Struthio camelus: one gene and its partner. The protein of the gene in region 1 interacts with the protein of each later gene in a biochemical or structural test. Links are inferred from orthologs where the notes say so. Each region holds a gene or a part of one and is shown in the gene's direction. Other genes may lie near its edges.

What was found.
Region 2: of the proteins of LATS1 (region 1) and MINK1, one has a biochemical effect on the other in vitro, tested with the Homo sapiens proteins (2 studies listed by BioGRID). The link is inferred for Struthio camelus from reciprocal best matches to the Homo sapiens genes LATS1 and MINK1.

What each region holds. Positions count from the first base shown.
Region 1 is NC_090944.1:82,015,041-82,024,097, forward strand, and holds the start of LATS1 (serine/threonine-protein kinase LATS1), read left to right. Parts: upstream 1-4,701; 5' UTR 4,702-4,965; intron 4,966-6,572; exon of another isoform or gene 6,573-6,800; intron 6,801-9,057. Other genes in the region: nucleoporin Nup43, read left to right, coding at 1,296-1,418, 2,684-2,898. UniProt on the Homo sapiens protein: Negative regulator of YAP1 in the Hippo signaling pathway that plays a pivotal role in organ size control and tumor suppression by restricting proliferation and promoting apoptosis.
Region 2 is NW_027182728.1:119,885-129,080, reverse strand, and holds the start of MINK1 (misshapen-like kinase 1), read left to right. Parts: upstream 1-5,314; 5' UTR 5,315-5,481; coding exon 5,482-5,538; intron 5,539-7,454; exon of another isoform or gene 7,455-7,455; coding exon 7,456-7,521; intron 7,522-7,709; coding exon 7,710-7,766; intron 7,767-7,845; exon of another isoform or gene 7,846-7,868; coding exon 7,869-7,994; intron 7,995-8,319; coding exon 8,320-8,430; intron 8,431-8,801; coding exon 8,802-8,892; intron 8,893-9,196. Other genes in the region: PSMB6 (proteasome subunit beta type-6), read left to right, coding at 1,591-1,692, 1,817-1,884, 2,134-2,265, 2,350-2,479, 3,304-3,448, 3,757-3,893. UniProt on the Homo sapiens protein: Serine/threonine kinase which acts as a negative regulator of Ras-related Rap2-mediated signal transduction to control neuronal structure and AMPA receptor trafficking.

The sequences.
Region 1 (9,057 bases):
ATAGTAAAGCAGGAATGCAGCTACTGACAAGCTTGAAAATGTGAGGTTGAGGAAGGAGACTGAAGATAGTACAGTTCCGTTTCATGCCTCCACCATGCTGAAACAGTTCACTTTCCTGGTACCGTTATATGAACAAGAAGGTAGCGACTCTTTCTGTTCTGGCAATTTATTGATTCAATACTAGAGTTATATTTAGGGAGTACATTGTTTCTTGAGATAAGAACTTTTACTGACTTAACTGTTTTGACAATTGTGGTATTTAGACACAAAATGACTGTTCTGGGAAGGAATGCTTGATGTGTGCAAATTTTAAACTTAATAGTAGGGAAGAAAGCATGAGAAAGCTATTGAGAATGTCTGAATTCAGACAAGCTTTTAACTTCTAACAACTCTCACAGTGTTGAAAGTACAGCAAAATGAGTGATCTGCTTTTTCAGGGGAGGGAAGATTGCAGCAAATAACTGATGGTAGTTCCCCCCTACCCCTTAAGAATGCAAGGTTTTGGTGAGGCCTGGATTCTTGTATGATATAGAATGTACTTACTAGCCACAGTGCAGAGCTGGGTATTTGATGTTTGTGAAATGGTTTTTTTCCTCTTCAGAGCCTGAGGTCTAGATTCATTAATCCGTAAAAGTAAGGAAAACCTGTTTCAACTTCCAACAGAAAGCAGTATTCTTCTTTATTAGAAGCTCTTTTCTCTCACTGGAGCTGATTAGTCTGTCTTCCTTCCCTTTTCCTTAGTGTAACTGGAAGGCATTGGCTATGTAGCTTCTTTCTGCATATGGCCAAGAGTGTGGTTTGTTTGTTTTTAAAATACCTGTAGTAGCGTTATTTTACTGTTATATGTGTGATTCCTTTTTACATGTGCATGAATTGCAGTTTTAGATTCTGTACTTTGCAATACCAGGACCTTGGTGGCCTTTGTGAGGCACCTACTGCACTACTTAGCTGGATAAATGAGCGTGTTTGAAATACCAGGAAGTGAGACGATGGCTTTGTATCTTGACAGCTGTCCCCATTGAAAGAAGCCATCCTAGCTGATACTTGAAAAGTTACCTTTATACTGTCATAAATAAACTTCAGTAGTTTCAGTAGCCTGAAGTAGGCTCATAGTTTTATAGTAACTAAACATATTTGCTGTTGGATTGAATAACCTGTGTAATTGAGGTATCAAACCCCTTTTAGTATCACAGCAGTGTAGAAATCACGAGGAGCATGGTTTGCATGCCAATAAGTATGTGTGTTTTATTGTTGTTAGTGTTTGGGTTTTTTTTTCCTTCTCTTGTTACTTCTAGTGTGGGAAGTTCACTTCCATCCCTCCAACCCAGATCACTTATTTACATGTTCTGAAGACGGATCTCTTTGGCACTGGGATACGTCCACAAGCGTTTCTGAAAAACCATCTTTCCTTCATCAAGGTAAGGATGTTTGAAGTCAGCTTGCATTGAATTTGTCATCTGGCAACTTAGGTAAAGCACTTGATCTTATATTCTCTATTACTAACTCAATACAGAAAACAAAAATCCAACTTCTTTTCTTAGACACGGGTAGGCACTCTAGGACAACTAAGTACTTACGGGGATAAGCAGTGTTTTTTATCTATCCTCACTGTGCTCTGTCTAGTGTGTGAAGGGGCGCATAAAGAATTTCAGGGATAAATTTAGTTCACTTAAATCACATCCGTGCGGACCAGACATGAAAGAGGCCTAAATGACACATTGCTACCTGAATCTCAGAGGGAGATATATAAAATTCGGTAACACCAATATAGTTTATAAGTTAACGGGATAGTGGAATTATGAATTTAATCTTTAGGCAGTTTTTCCAAGTCATAAGTGGAAGATTGTCAGTGAGTGAAACTGTATGCCTTTGTGTCATGGTAGGATTTCAAAGACATGAAACTGATGTAAAAATGCCTTTTTGCTTTCTAATCTCAGACTGCTTAATTGCTTGCAACTTCAGAGGGGAAACTCTGAAGTGGGGGAAGTGGAGAACTTTCAAATATCTTCTGCCTCTGGCCTCAAAGCTGCCATTCAAAGTTGAGTTCTGTACAGGGGAATAATAGTATAACTGAGAGTCAAATCGCACTCTGCATGTTCTCAGGTATACTGCATAACCCCTTAAGTGCACCATTTTAAACCATTGTAAGCTTTATACTGGCTGATAGTTCTCAAACTGCAAAACTTCAGTTTGGATTTGAATTTTTTTGTGGAAAAAGCTTGAAGTCAAATCCAGGTATATCACTTTCTCCAGATTAGGTAGAGAGAAGGTACAGTGGGGAGTAAATGTTATTACAGCAAAGCTGATGCCTCAAATATAGCAAGGCCACTGCGTAAGTGGACTTTGGTTCATAGGTCCATTGCTTTAGTCTTCAGCTAGAAAAACTTGTAGTTGCTCATACTATTTGCTCAATGAGATGGGTTCTTAGTTGTACTGACTTATTTGCCCTCTTAACTGAGGAGAGAGCTGGTAGCAGGCTTCTGTAAACATTTGAAGTACTTGGCTTTTAGCTATTTTGTTGTTGTTTACCAGGAAGACTAGTACATCATTTAGCTAATCTGAAAACTGATTTAAATTTAAAATGCTTTTCCCGTTATGTCTCTCCTTTAGTTGCTATGTTTCTCCAAATTCTGAGACTAAACTAAATTGGAACTAATTTTTTTTCCCTTTCCCTCACTTTCAGGAGGAAGAAGTACTACATATTTTTCCCACAATACCGTTAACCAATCTGTAGTAAGTGCCTGGCTAAGCAACGATCCTACCAAAGACCGCATGGAGATTACCAACTTAATTCCACATCAGACTTTGTCTGTGAACAGTTTAGATATTTTAGGACCATGTCTAGTGTATGGTACTGATGCAGAGGCTATTTATGTTAACAGACACCTTTTTGCATGAAACTACTTCAGTGTCACTCTGAATCACCTTGAACTACTGGGAAACGCATCAGGTTCATGAGGGTTTCCAACTAAACTGTTATGAGCATGTGGGAGAGAGGCCTACAGCTTAGTTCTGCTATTGCAAAAGGAATGCAAGTTACCTCAGACTCTTAAAGTTGCCCCTTATTATTCATGCTCTACCATGGGTAATTAAACCAGCTTTTGTGTAAGCTTGATCTCACTTCTTCCCCGTTGCCTGCTTCATTTTGGCAAGCAGGAAGCTAGCTGTAAGTGCAAGATGTTTGTTCTTAGCTGATGTCCATAATGCACAAGGTGAAGAAAAACTAAACCCCTGATTATTCATGTATATGTAGAGACATTCCACATGTTAAGGCCAAATCATAAGGTTCTTTGATGTTCTTTTTATGTCGGCTGAGAGAGACTGCTTTTTATTTGAGATTTTTATATATATATATTTTTTGGAAGCATAGCTTTTTACGCTGGTGCATGAGAACTGGAAAGGAAACCTGTAAAAGCTGTAAAATATGAAAGGTCCTATAAGACTTTTAGCATTTTAGTAGCATTATTTTGGATTACTACAACTTCATCACGGATACAACGTGTTAAAACTCCATCTGGATAATGTGCCTATAACTCTCTCATCAGAAAAGTGTTTTTATAGCTCAGTGGCCATAAGTGATGGACATGTTGGCTGTTTTAAAATATGTGATGGAGACACATCTGTGACAAAGACCATCTGTGACAAAGACCATGACTGACGCTATCAGTTTTCCATCTAGTCTTGTTTTGCAATCTTTGAAAAATTAATTTTAGGATGACTGCTGTACCTACCTTTTGTTGCAGAGAACCCTTTCTCTTTTTAATAAAGTATTTTGCACAAGAGTACTGGCCTGACTTACTAGATTAGTTTAGTAGATGTGCTTTTTAGTTTGTTGTTGCAGGAGGGTAAATAACCCTAAGAGCTCTCTGGACTGGGTTTGAGAATGGGATTTGGCACTTTGAGGGAAATCTTAGGATCTGGGCAGCAGCAGATGGAGTTATAAGGCTTTAAAAATCACTCGTCAGCGAAACAGCTTTAGAGTATTTCACTCTCGAGGCGGTGAGAAGAGTGTTCTTCATCTTTTCTCACAATGACTTGCCTGATTTGAATTTCCTGTGTGTCTAGCTGAAGAACGTGGGTTGTACCTTAGTTAAGGGGTATTCTTCAGAAAAGAACTTGAGTTGCTAGGAGGCTTACTAGTTTTAAATTTTAGTTTTTAAATTTCCCTATTTGTTTGAAATGGGACACTTTGCTTGAGTAGGGAAGTGATCATTCTTCTTGGGGAACTTATAGATGGGGGTCTGTAAGAAGTCTTTTATTCAGTCGTGTCGGCGATCTTTCCCCTTGGAAAACCGAAGTTTATTGATCAGCATGCTCGCAGCCGTGGTGAGCATCTATTGCAGTCGATAATACCATGCGAGCTCAGCTGTGGTGATTAACCGGGTTTTGAGCTCAGCTTCACTAGACTCCTAGCGCTTGACGAGGCTCCAGGTTGACGAGGTTTTTGTGCCATTAAAAGGAGGAGAGGAAAAAAAAAAAAAAAGCGATGCCTGAAACCTCTTTCCCCCTTGCGGGGGGCTCCGTGTGGAGCAGCTCCCGTTACCGCTACAAGGTAGTGGCGCCGGGCGGGGGAGGGGGCAAACGGCCGTTTACCATGGCGGGGGGGGGGGGGGGGGGACGCACCGCCCTGCCCGCGTGGGGCGCTCGCGGCTGGGCCGCGCCGGCCGCTGCATTCCATACCGGGTTGGGGGGGGGGGGGGCGCAAAGGAGGCTGGGAGCTGCCTATATCCGGGAAACCTTCCGCGGCGGAGGCACCGACAAAATGGCGGCGCCGAACTGAGGGACCCGTGGCGGCGGTGGCGGGAGGGGGGGGCGCTGGCGGAGCGACCGAGGAGCCGCTGCCGGCGGCGTTGAGGGCCGCGGAGGTCGTTGCCGTCGTCGCAGGGGCGTGGCCGAGCGCCCTACGCACACGCCCGGGCCCGGGGCGCTGCTGCTGCTACCGCCGCCGCTGCCTTTTCGCTGCAGGTAGGTCCGGCGTGCCGCGGCGGCGAGGAGAGGGCGCTGGCGGGGCTCGAGAGCGGCTCGGCCAGGGCGTGGGGGCCATAACGGGCCCTTCCCGGGCCCCTCCTGCCGCGGCGGCGGCGGCGGCGGCGGCGGAGCGGCAGAGCCCGGGCCCCTTGCTCCCTGCCGGCAGCGAGCGGGACGCGGCCGGAGGTAGGCGGCGTTGCCTCCCGCCGCCCGGGCCGGGGGTTGTGCGTCTGAAAGCGGCTTCGCGGTCACCGAGGAGCGGCTCCTCCGCGGAGGCGAGGCGGTGTCCGCGCCGCCCGGGCCCCGCGGCTGCGGCTGGGGTGGTGGTGGTGGCGGCGGCGGGCCGGCGGCCGCCGGTTGGGCCGCGGTGCCGCCGCCTCACGAGGGTTTCGCCGCTGCAGTGGTGGTGCTTGATGGTGTTAGTTCCCCCTTATCTCCCCCGGGGAACGCTGAAGGTTCGGAGGAAAGCCGCACTTCAGCAGACCGGATTCAAACGTTTCTTCCAGATGGACGTATACGGTAGCACGTGCATCTCTGCTTTACCTCGGGTCGTGGTCTCGTACTTGCTGTGCAACAAAAATGCAATTAACACAGTGGATAGACTTGAGATACTCATGACTGTTATATCCTGAAAATTCTCACGCCAGTGTTGTACTTCTACTCTGGGTGGTCCTTGACATGTTGGATCCTTCTGTGCTATTAGAATTACCTTAGTACCTGTCTGTGCCAACGCTACTTACGCTTTGGTTTTAAATGGCTGCCCTGTCGGTAGCAATGAAGATTACTCTTACGTGCTCAAGAAATAAGCAATAATAAGAACTGAGAATGCGTTTGTACATAAGAGCTATATCCTATTAAAAGGAGATAGCAGAGTACGAGAATGGAAAGGAGCAGCAGAAGCAAGCGTACAGCGCTCCTTGTGTTCAGCTAGCCTCCAGTCACTTTCAACTCAGAGTCTTCCTTGAATGTATGTAGTCATAATTATTTACAAATTTTCCGTGCCCGGTTTTCTGCTCATCCTATGTAAATTTTTAGTGCTGAAAACATCGTTTGACAAAAGAGCTTTTCAGCCCAACCACCTGTTACCCAAAGAACTGCTTCCTTTGATTCAAGCCAAGCCCCTACAAAGTTAATCTGATGCCTCCCAAGTTCTTGTTTTAAATCTTTTCTAAAAAGAAAGAGTTGATTGAGATCCTGTGTAAGCTAAGTTAATAGAATAGGGATATGGGAGAGGAAATCAAAATAGATTGTTTTTACTTTCAGCTGAATATTGAGCACTGTGTAGTATTTAAATGTATGTTCAAAATTTTTTAATATTAAATGTTACAAAGCTACTAAAAAGCTGTATATTTTCCTTCCCAGAAATGCTTAAAAGGCATTGACAGAGCAGTTGCGTGTTACTGTCGCCTTCTGAAACCGTTAAGTGTTTTCATTCAAACGCCTATTTTTTATTGTCCAGTCTTTTGTGGTACACTCTAAACAGACTGTTTTTTTTCTCCTTACAGTTTGACCTGTAGAAGAAAATAGTTTATCCTTATGTTTTGAAAAGGAAGAAAAAATGATTTAACTGCTTTAGGGAAATGGAGAATGTCACCAGTGGAAGTATTTGCATTAACAAACAGATGCATCAAGGGCATTTAACCATACAGAACTGCAAGGGAGAATACACGGCCGTTCCCTCAGGTTCAGTTAGTGTTTGCTAGTTAGATATACATGATTGAGAAAGGTTACTTACTGATCTGGTCAAAACTTTATTGTTTTAAAATGTGTGTAAATGTCTGTAAGAGGAGATGACTTCACGGTCCCTGAATTTTGAAGTCCTCCAAAGCAAGGTGAGCTATGGTCAATAATACTTGCCGCTTTGTACTTCATTACAGTGGAGGACTGTTTTAATTGGGTTTCTGAGCAATTAAGACTGTAGTTTCACAGACCCATGAAATTGTTAGCCAATACTGCTGCTGAAAGAAATAAACCCCTAGGAAAAAAAATTACTTTTTATCTGGATAGGTTCCCTGGCTTGATTCACTCTATGTGGCCTTACAAACTACTTAATGCTGGCACGGAATAAGTGGACTGGCTGTTTTACACTGGTATAAACCCCTGCTTCTGCTAAAAACTTATGTGAAAGGATGACTTTATTTTCTAAGGCTGGTCAGTCCATATACTGTATGCTGCAGTTGCCAACCAAATAATAGTTACCACATACTTAAAACATCCCTTGTATTAAAATTCTCAAAGCATTTTAAAAAGAAATATAATTATCTCTTTTTTTTTTTTTTTTTTTTACATAAAGAAGTCAGTGTACAAGGTGATTTTTTTTTTTTTTCCCCCCTAGGCCATATGATTGAATTGGTGGTAGACTCTAGGTCTCCTGATTTACAGATTAAGTATCATCTTAATTTGACCTGGAGTTCTCCTGTGGGTGTTATATTTGTTTATCTCAGCTACCTGCAGGGTGATTGTAAAGTGAATTTGGTGAAACACCAAATAAAATTATGGTTAAAACATATAGGTGAAAAACAAGTGTTTTCTCTTGGATTAAAGTCCTGTGGAAAGTGTTAAGAGAAAGAACTTACATATGGACATTTTTTTTACTACTCTCATTTGATACTTGTCTGACACAGGATGGATACTAACTATTTTATCTAGATTACCTGCCAGTGGTGAGCTAGTGATTAGTCCTAATTTTGACTGAATTTGAACAAGTAATCTAAATCACTAAGCCTCTAAGCTATTCAGCCTTATTGTTATGTGCTGTGGGGTGAACTTATGATAATGTTTTGCTTCTCTGGGGGTGGTAATTCTTTTCAGTGTTATTAGTATGTATACTCACACACTTTTGTGTACTCAACACATGTGTTTTTCAAAACAGATGCCTTGAAAAGAAAGGAAACTTCCCTAGCAAAGCTAAATTCCAGTGAAATGTTCTAAACAAAGCTTTCTTTCCTCCCTTTTCTTTGGGGAAAAATGTTTTTAACCAAATATTGTCCATGTTGTTTTAAATTTTGCATGTGTTTAAGTGCTCTTGAAAGTGGCCAGGGTTAAATTACATTTTAATTTATCTCATGGCATGCTTTCTGCAGCGTCTAGACTAGTTACTCCTTTGAGCAAAACTCCACTGCTTATTACTAAATCTCACTTAGGTGCCTGATGGTCTTTTCCTTAGTCAGTGAACATTAAAGAAATGTGTTACTGGACAGCAGAAAAAGTTCTAATATCACTATAAAATGACATTCTTTTAAAGTTTCAGGCTTACCACAGGTCAAAGAAAGCTTGTGGGTGCAGTCCCAGCACTTGAGATTTAGGGAATTCCATTAGAGAAACTGAATTATTTCTTAAGTGATTGGCCAAGGAGAAGGGGGTTAGGTTGCTATACCTTGTGTTCCTTTTTCTCCCTCCTTATTTATGTACTGTCCTTCTAAGCGCTCAAGTTTCACTCATTTATGGGTAGCGTGTTTATTTTATTCATATAATTTGCATGTGGATTAGAGGGTTCTTTTTCCTATTAACTTTTTGTCATATTCTTCCTCAATCACTGAATCAGTAGTAGGTTTATGACACTGCAAATATCATAAAAGTGAAACTTGGATGGAGGGATAGTGGCTTTTCTGTAGACTGTTAAAAGCTTTTTAGGCGCCTGTTCAATTCAGACGTCCAATATGAGAAACACCGTTGTCTACACACTACCTCTTTAAGAGAGAAGTGGTGCTTATAAACATCCAAGTCCTCAAAAAGACTCTTTCAGAAAACCAGGAATGCAAAATTTTAACACTTCTAGAAACAGAAACAAGAAAAAGCGTTTTTGCATTGTTACTTATTATACTGAAGGAACAGTATAAGTTAAGTTTTACCATTCTTTTAATTGCCATTGAAGAAAGGACAATGCTAGAATATGTAATTTTTGTATCTTGCACTGTCTTCCTCTATGGAAATGCAAAAAGTTTTATTTCATGGTACTCTGAAAGAGGCAAGGCTCTAACTTCTTCAGTATTTCATCTTAGTTGCTCTGTCCTTTATCATACCAATTACAGTACAAGCTAGCTGCATGGCACAAATGCTAAGGTTTTATTTTGCTGCAGAGCACAGCGT
Region 2 (9,196 bases), on another chromosome or scaffold:
GAACCATGGGGGGGAGATTGGGGGTCTGGGGGGATCAGGGGGGCTCCTAGGGGTTCCTGAGGGGGACTTGGGGTCCTTGGGGGATGTAAGGGTGCTCATGGGGGGTCTACGCAATCTTAGGGGGCTCAGGGGGAGCCAGAGTCCCCTGGGGTATATTGGGGTGCTCAGGAGGGTTGGGGGGGCTGGAGAGGGTCCTAGGGAAGCATTGAGGGGCTAGAGGAGTCTTGGGGTGCCCGGGGGGGGGGCCTAGGGGGCATTGGAGGCTAGAGAGGGTGCTCGGGGGAGTCCTAGGGGGCACTGGGGGGTCTAGAGGGGGTCTTGGGGTGCCTGGGAGGGTCCTAGGGGGCATTGGGGGTCTAGAGGGGGTCTTGGGGTGCCTGGGAGGGTCCTGGGTGGTTATTGGGGATCAGAGGTGGTTAGTGGGGGCCTGGAGGGGCCTAGGAGGCTGTTGGGGGGTGGGGGAGTTCCATGGGGCTTTGGGGTTCGGGGGGGTCATGGGGCACTGGCAGCCCCTGACGCCCCCCCGGACCCCCCCTGTTTCCACATGTGCCGCCCATCGCCCTGGGGGCAGCAGCTGCTGGCCGAGCTGCGGGCGCCCCCAGCCTTGCGCCCCACGCGGCGCCCCGCCGCCCTCACCACCGTCTTCCGCCGCCCCACGCCCCCTGTGAGTGCTGGATGCCTGGGCCCCGGCAGGTGGGGGGGGCTCCCAGATGACTAGATCCCCACAGGGGGACGCACCTGGACGCCTGGGCCCCTGGGGAAACCCCACTCATCTCTGCCCCTTCCCCCCTCCAGAGCCACCGTGAGGCCCCAGAGCTGGGGGGTGGGGGGGGTCGCAGCCCCCTTGCCTGCGGCCCCCCCCGACCTGAGCCACCCTCGTCCGGACCAAGGAACCCAGGCGTCCGGGGGACCCTCCCCCCAGGGACCCAGGTGTCCGGGTGTTCCCCCGGTCCCCAGGAACCCAGGTGTCCGGGACCCCCCCCATAATTGAGACCCCCCCCCCCCCCCCAACAACCCAGGCAGGAGCTGGGGCAATAAAGCACTTGATTGACAGCTGTGTCTCCACCCCTTTGTGTGGGAGGAGCCATGGAGGCGGGGCCTGCCCTGGTGCTGGGGTTATGTCACTGGTGGTGATGACATCACAGTTGCTGCGCTGTCCATGTTGGGTGATGTCACACTGCACAACAGAGGTGATTTGGGAGCGCAGGGTTGGGGCTGGGAGTCACCAGGGTGATGCGATGATGTCACATGCTGCAGCGATGTCATACGCAGTACTGCTGCTGCTTCCTAAACCTCATGACATCATTGTGATGGATTATGGTGACGCCATAGCACCCGCCCTGGTGTGCAACACTAGGTACTGCTCCCGAGCTTTTCACGGGAGGTCACACGCTGCAGTGATGACGTCAGAAACTCTTGAAGAGGGGCTTGGCCGGCTGCCACACTGCGGCCAAGAGCGGCCGGCAGCGACGTCGCGAAAGCGCGGTGCCACTCTGCCGTAAAGCAGCGCGCGGAGAGGGCGCCCAGCGGGGCCGGCCGGGATGTCGCGAAAGCGCGTGGCACGGCCGCGTCGCCAAGCGCGACGGGAAGATGGCGGCGGTGACGGTGCAGGCGGGCGCGATGGGGCCCTGGGCCGGGCCGGGGCCCGCGGCTCTGCACCGGGACTGGACCGCGGAGGCCGTCAGCACCGGCGTGAGCGGGGCCGGAGGGGCTGCGGGGCAGGAGGGGGCGCCATGGGGCGCCATGGGGCGCGGCGGGCTGGGGCAGCGGGGCTGGGGGCAGCCCCGCGGCGGGGCCTGACCCTGCCGCCCCGCAGACCACCATCATGGCCGTGGAGTTCGACGGAGGCGTCGTCATCGGGGCCGACTCGCGGACCACCACGGGGTGAGCGCGGCTCCGGGCGCTGCTGGGGGCTCCGGGCGGCCGGGCGCTGCTGGGGCCCCCCGGTCACCGGGGCGCTGCTGGTGCTCCAGGTTGCCCGGGATAGTCACCAGGGGAACCCCGACAGCAGGGTCATCGCTAGGTGTCCCCAGCCTTGGAGCTGTCACGGGGGGGGGCAGCTGTCTCCAGGGTCCTCACCGTTGCTGGGGTGGTCGCCACGGCGGTGTCACCGTGGCGCCGCTGGGGCTGCAGGTCCTACATCGCCAACCGGGTGACGGACAAGCTGACGCCGATCCACGACCGCATCTTCTGCTGCCGCTCGGGCTCCGCCGCCGACACCCAGGCCGTGGCCGATGCCGTGGCCTACCAGCTGGCCTTCCACAGGTGTGGGGGCGACGCCGTGGGGCGGGGCGATGCCGTGGGGCGCGGGGGGTCCCCGCTGCGGGTCTGACCCCCGGTGCCCCCCAGCATCGAGCTGGACGAGCCGCCCCTGGTGCACACGGCCGCCAGCCTCTTCCAGCAGACCTGCTACCGCTACCGCGAGGAGCTCACCGCCGGCATCATCGTCGCCGGCTGGGACCGCCGCCGCGGCGGGCAGGTGAGCCCCACGGCCGCAGCCCCACGGCCCCCCCGCGCCCCACAGTCACGGTGGCTGCCCCGCACCAGCCCTCCATCCCTCGCGGCGTCCCCGGGGCCTGCTGGGATCGGGGTCACCACAGGCAGGCGTCCCCTCCCCCCCCCACGTGTCCCTTGCCCCACAGGCACCTCCCAGCCCACTGAGACCCTGCTGCCCCCCACGATGCCTCTAGCCCCCCATATTCCCCCCCACCCCTGCACCCATGCATGTGTGGTGTTTCCCTGCCCCCCACACAGCTCCCCTGACCCCCAGGTGCCCCCACACTGTCTTCCTGGCCCCTCCACCCCCCACATCGCCCCCCTGAGCCCTCTGCATGCCCCCATATCGCCCCCTGGTCCCCCTGCCCCCCATCACCCCCCAGGTGCCCCCTTTGCCCCTCCTAGGTACCCACAATGCCCCGCCATGGTCCCCCTGCCCCCAGTGTCCCTCCCCAGGTGCCTGTGGTGCCCCCCCATGGCCCCCCTGACCCCCATGTGACCCCCAGGTGCCTGCAGTGCCCCCCCCACAGCCCCCTGACCCCCATGCTCCCCCCAAGGTGCCTGCAGTGCCCCCCTATGGCTCCCTGCCCCCAGTGTCCCCCCCCAGCTGCCCGTGGTGTCCCCCCACAGCCCCCCTGACCTCCGTGCACCCCCCAGGTGCCTGCAGTGCCCCCCACAGCCCCCTCGACCCCTGTGTGCCCCCCCAGCTACCCGTGGTGCCCCCCCACAGCCTCCCTGACCCCCGTGTGCACCTCAGGTGCCCGTGGTGCCCCCCCCCACCCTCCCTGACCCCCGTGTGCTCCCCAGGTGTACGCAGTGCCCATGGGGGGGCTCCTCGTCCGCCAGCCCTTCTCCGTGGGTGGCTCCGGCAGCTCCTACGTCTACGGCTTCGTCGACGCCTCCTTCCGTCCCGGCATGAGCCAGGCCGAGTGCGAGGACTTTGCTGCCCGCGGTGGGGGCCCAGGCGTCCAGGATGGATGGGTGGGGGGGACCCAGGAGGGGGGAATGGGATGGATGGGGAGGACGAAGACATGGGGCCCCAGGCGTCCAGCGGGTGGGTGACAGGATGGGCAGCGGGGGAATGGGGACAAGGGGACCCAGGCATCCGGGGAAGCTGTGGGGGGATGTAGGAAGCAGCAGGCAGGTTTATGGAAGGGAGGGAAGCAGGGCAGCGACCCAGGAGTCCGGGCAGGTTGTAGGGGAGCAGGGCAGCGACCTTAAGGCAGAGTCCAAGCCTTACCCACCATCTTCTTGCTGCAGCGCTGGCACTGGCCATGGCACGGGACGGCTCGAGCGGTGGCGTGATCCGGCTGGCGGCAGTGACGGAGCGGGGGGTCGAGCGCCGCGTCCTGGCCGGCCCCGACCTGCCTGGGGGCGACGGGGGCCCCCCGGCCTGAGGGGACAGTTAACGGTCCAGTGTGGGAGAAGGGCGGGAAGCGGGGGGGCAATAAATAGCCCCAGCTTGACGGTGGTGCTGCTGAGCAGGGCAATAAACGACACCCACGCACCCTGCCTCTGCTCTGTGCGCCACGCCGGGACCCCGTCCCGGGCTCCTGGGTCCCCTAAGCGGCACCCCTTCCCTTTGGTCACCAGTGTCCTCTAAGTTTTGGGGCCTCCCTGCCCTTTCCTCCCCTTGATGGGGTCCCCTGTCGCACTCCGGCCACCTTGGTCCTTGTGCTGCTTCCTTCCCACCAGATATTGGGGTTCCCCTTCAGTGTCTTAGTTCTCTCCCACAGATGCCCTCTGTCCCCTTTTTCCTCCCTAATATGGGGGTGCCCCTTCCCTCTCCCCAACCTGGGTCCCCCCTAAGCCTTTCCCCTCTTCAGGAATTGGGGTGCCCCTTCACCCCCCAGATACCTGGGTCCCCCTGCCCTCCCCTCTCAGGTACGGGGGTTCCCCTTCACCACCCCCCAGGCCCTCAGAGCCCCCCTGCCCTCCCAGACTTGGGGGTTCTCCTTCACCATCTTGTCCCGGACGCCGGGGTCCCTTTCCTGCCCCTTTTCCCCTCAGGAACGGGGGGGCCCCTCACCACCGACTCCCCGGACCTTGGGGTCCCCTGTCCCGGACGCCGGGGTCCCTTTCCTGCCCCTTTTCCCCTCAGGAACGGGGGGGCCCCTCACCACCGACTCCCCGGACCTTGGGGTCCCCTGTCCCGGACGCCGGGGTCCCTTTCCTGCCCCTTTTCCCCTCAGGAACGGGGGGGGCCCCTCACCACCGACTCCCCGGACCTTGGGGTCCCCTGTCCCGGACACCGGGGTCCCTTTCCTGCCCCTTTTCCCCTCAGGAACGGGGGGGCCCCTCACCACCGACTCCCCGGACCTTGGGGTCCCCTGTCCCGGACACCGGGGTCCCTTTCCCGCCCCTTTTCCCCTCAGGAACGGGGGGGCCCCTCACCACCGACCCCCGGACCTCGGGGTCCCTTTCCTGCCCCTTTTCCCCTCAGGAACGGGGGGGCCCCTCACCACTGACCCCCCGGACCTCGGGGTCCCCTGTCCCGGACGCCGGGGTCCCTTTCCTGCCCCTTTTCCCCTCAGGAACGGGGGGGCCCCTCACCACCGACCCCCGGACCTCGGGGTCCCCTGTCCCGGACGCCGGGGTCCCTTCCCCGCCCCTCCCCCATCCTCTCAGCCGCTCCCCCGTGATGTCACCGTCTCCACACGCGGCGGAGGAGGGTGGAAAGGGCGGGACCGGCCGCGCCCTCGCGCCTCGGGCAGGCGCGCGCCTCCCCCCCACTTCGCAACGCGCCTGCGCGGCACCGCCCCGCCCCTCCGGCGCGCCTGCGCGCTGCGCCGCCTCCCCCCGCGCGCCTGCGCAGTGCGCTGGGTGGCGGCGCGGGCGCTGTCAGTCGGTGGCGGAGCCGCGGCCGGAGCGGGGCCGCCCGGTCCCGTCCCGTCCCGTCCCGTCCCCATGGGGCCCCGCTGACCCCCCGCCCCGGCTCTCCCCCCCGCCCCTTCTTCCCCTTTCCTCCCTCCTGCCCCCGCCGCCATGGCGGACCCCGCCCCCGCCCGCAGCCTCGACGACATCGACCTTTCCTCCCTCCGGGTGAGCGGGGTCAAAGGGCGGCGGGTGGGAGGGCGGCCGGGGTCAAAGGGCGTGGGGGCGCGGGAACGGGGGGGCAAAGGTCACCACAGGGCCCCCCCCCTTACCGGGGTTGGTGGGCTTTCACCCTGGGAGACTCCCCGGCCTCCCCCAGTGCCCCCAGTATCCCCCAGTGCCCCCCAGTTCCCGCCGGCCTCTCACTGGCGAGCCAGAAAGACCTGCTGCCCTCTGGAGAGCCCCCCGGCCTCCCCCAGTGCCCCCAGTATCCCCCAGTGCCCCCCAGTTCCCGCCGGCCTCTCACTGGCGAGCCAGAAAGACCTGCTGCCCTCTGGAGAGCCCCCCGGCCTCCCCCAGTGCCCCCAGTATCCCCCAGTGCCCCCCAGTTCCCGCCGGCCTCTCACTGGCGAGCCAGAAAGACCTGCTGCCCTCTGGAGAGCCCCCCGGCCTCCCCCAGTATCCCCCAGTGCCCCCCAGTACCCGCCGGCCTCTCACTGGCGAGCCAGAAAGACCTGCTGCCCTCTGGAGAGCCCCCCGGCCTCTCCCAGCACTCCCCAGTATCCCCCAGTGCCCCCCAGTACCCGCCGGCCTCTCACTGGCGAGCCAGAAAGACCTGCTGCCCTCTGGAGAGCTCCCCGGCCTCCCCCAGTGCCCCCAGTATCCCCCAGTGCCCCCCAGTACCTGCCGGCCTCTCACTGGCGAGCCAGAAAGACCTGCTGCCCTCTGGAGAGCCCCCCGGCCTCCCCCAGTGCCCCCAGTATCCCCCAGTGCCCCCCAGTACCCGCCGGCCTCTCACTGGCGAGCCAGAAAGACCTGCTGCCCTCTGGAGAGCCCCCCGGCCTCCCCCAGTGCCCCCAGTACCCCCAGTGCCCCTTAGCCTTTTACTGGTTAATTAGAAAGACTTGCTGCCCTCTGGAGACAGCCCCCCCCAGTATCCCCCAGTGCCCCCCAGTAGTCCTCTTGGGCTGGTTAGAGGCTTCATTCCTCCTCAGGCCCCCCAGAGCCCCCCACCATGCTCCCACCTTGCAGGGCCTCCTCAACCACCCCCATGGCTGGGACCTGGGGGCTACCCCCCCCCGCAGCACCCCCCAACCCACCGGGGGGCAGGGGGAGCCCCCCTGGGAAAGCACCAGCCTCCCCCCGAGCTGGGATAAGGGGGGGGCTTTGCCCGAGGGGGCCCCCAGGGTGAAGGGGGGGCTCTACCCTTGACCCAGGCTAGAAATGGGTCACGTGCTGGGGAGGTCCCGCTCCCCACCAAGGATCACCCCGCTCCCACTCAGCTCTGGGGCTCCCTCATTTCTGCGACGCTCGTTTATTATTTATAATTTCGACAGGAGCTGCCACGGCATCCCGTCCCATCGGGCTGGGGCTGTGCCGAGCCCCGCTTCCGTCAGCAGAAATCAGAGCGGCCGTGGCGCCGTTCCCCTGTGCAGGGCGCCAAAAGGCGCCCTGAGCAGCCGATTTGCCCAAACTTGCTACGTTTGGGCCCAAAAACCACGTGTTGGCGGGGGGGGGGAGGGGGAAGGGAAGAAAGCCTTACAGGAGGAGATTAGCAGGCAAGGCGATTACCCATGAAGCGGCGCCTCGTGATCCCGAATTTGCAGGATTTACCCCCGCGGCGGCACCTGACTCCATGTCCAGGGCCTAGGCGCAGGCAGGCAGGCAGGCATTTTGGGGCTGAAAAGGGCGGGTTTGGTCTCATGGGGGCACGGGCGGGCGCTCCCCTGCGCCCTGCCCTGCTTCCCAGCCGTCCTTGATGCGCCGGGGCGCTGTAACCCGCTTGGCAGCTCCCAGCGGGCGCCTGGGACAGCAGGACGTGCTGACCGCGTTTCGGTGGGTTATTTATACTTGCTGGAGCGGGGGGGGGGCTGGATGCTCGGGCTCCCCCCAGATCCCCTCCGTCACCCTCATGTCCCCCTCCAGGATCCTGCCGGCATCTTTGAGCTGGTGGAAGTCGTCGGCAACGGGACATATGGGCAGGTCTATAAGGTGAGGCATTGCGGACGCGTGTCACGCCTGCGCGTGCTCCCCCCCGCACACGCAACATGCTGGGATGGTCCAAGTAGGACAGCCCGGTCGCCTGGGCCCCTGCTCCAGTCCTAAGGGCAGGAGGGGGGGACGCTGTGCGGCACCTGGACGCCGGGGTCCCCTCCTCACGCCCCCTCCGCGTCCCCCAGGGCCGGCACGTGAAGACGGGGCAGCTGGCTGCCATCAAGGTCATGGATGTGACAGAGGTGAGCGGGGTGGGGGGGACACACGTGATGCTGGAGGGACATGTGTGATGTGGGGTGGGGGACACACACGTGACCCTAGTGCTTTTCTGCCCCTGCGGCTAGGACGAGGAAGAGGAGATCAAGCAGGAGATCAACATGCTGAAGAAGTATTCGCACCACCGCAACATCGCCACCTACTACGGGGCCTTCGTCAAGAAGAGCCCCCCCGGCAATGATGACCAGCTCTGGGTGAGTCCCACCGGATCCGGGGGGGGAATCCGAGAGGGGATCCCGGAGCGATCTGGGAAGGATGTGGGGGGGGCTGAGGGTGGATTAGGGCAGATTTGGGGGTCTGGGGGGGATCTGGGGGCAGTCTAGGGCTTTGGGGGGGATCTGGAGGTCCAGGGGGGATCCAGGGGGGACCTGGGAGGAATTTGTGGGTCTGGGGAGGATCCAAGAGGGATCAAGGAGGGATCCATGGAGGAGAAGGGGCATCAGGGCAATCCATGGAGCTGAGGAGGATCCAGGGGGCCAGGAGTGGATCAGGGGGGCAGCGCTAACCCCCCGCCCCCAGCTGGTGATGGAGTTCTGCGGTGCCGGATCTGTCACGGACCTGGTGAAGAACACGAAGGGCAACGCGCTGAAGGAGGACTGCATCGCATACGTGTGCCGCGAGATCCTGCGGGTGAGTGTCACGCGTGTGCCGCGTCCTGCACATCCCATACATATGGTGTGTGCAGGGCCTGGCACATGCTGCGTGTGGGCCGTGTGCGTGTGCTCGCTTTGCACTTGCGTGTGGTGTGTGCAGGGCCTGGTATGTGCCGTGTGTATGGTGTGTGCCTGCCTCACACGTGCGCGTGGTGTATTCAGGACCTGATGCGTGCCATGTGCATGGCATGCGCCCGTCTTACACGTGTGCGTGGTGTGTGCAGGGCCTGGTGTGTGCTGTGTGCATGATATGTGCCCATCTCACGCGTGTGCGTGGCGTGTGCCGGGCCTGGCGTGTGCCATGTGTGTGGCATGCATCCGTCTCACGCGTGTGTGTGGCGTGTGCAGGGCCTGGCCCACCTCCACGCGCACAAGGTGATTCACCGTGACATCAAGGGCCAGAACGTGCTGCTCACTGAGAACGCCGAAGTCAAGCTGGGTAGGTGCTCCCAGTATGGTCTCCCAGTGCTCCCAGCGCTCCAAGTATGGCCAGCCAGCACTTCCTGTGCGAGCTACCAGTACGGGCTCCCAGTGATCCCAGTATGGCTTCCAGCGCAGGCTCCTGGTGATCCCAGTTTGGGTTTCCAGCACTCCCAATTTGGGCTCCTAGTGCCCCTAGTATGGGCTCCCAGGGTAGGCCCCTAATGCTCCCATTGCAGCTCCCAGTGTTCCCAGTATGGACTACCAGCATGGGCTCCCAGTTTGAGTTTCTAGCACTCCCAGTATGCTCTCCTGGATAGGGC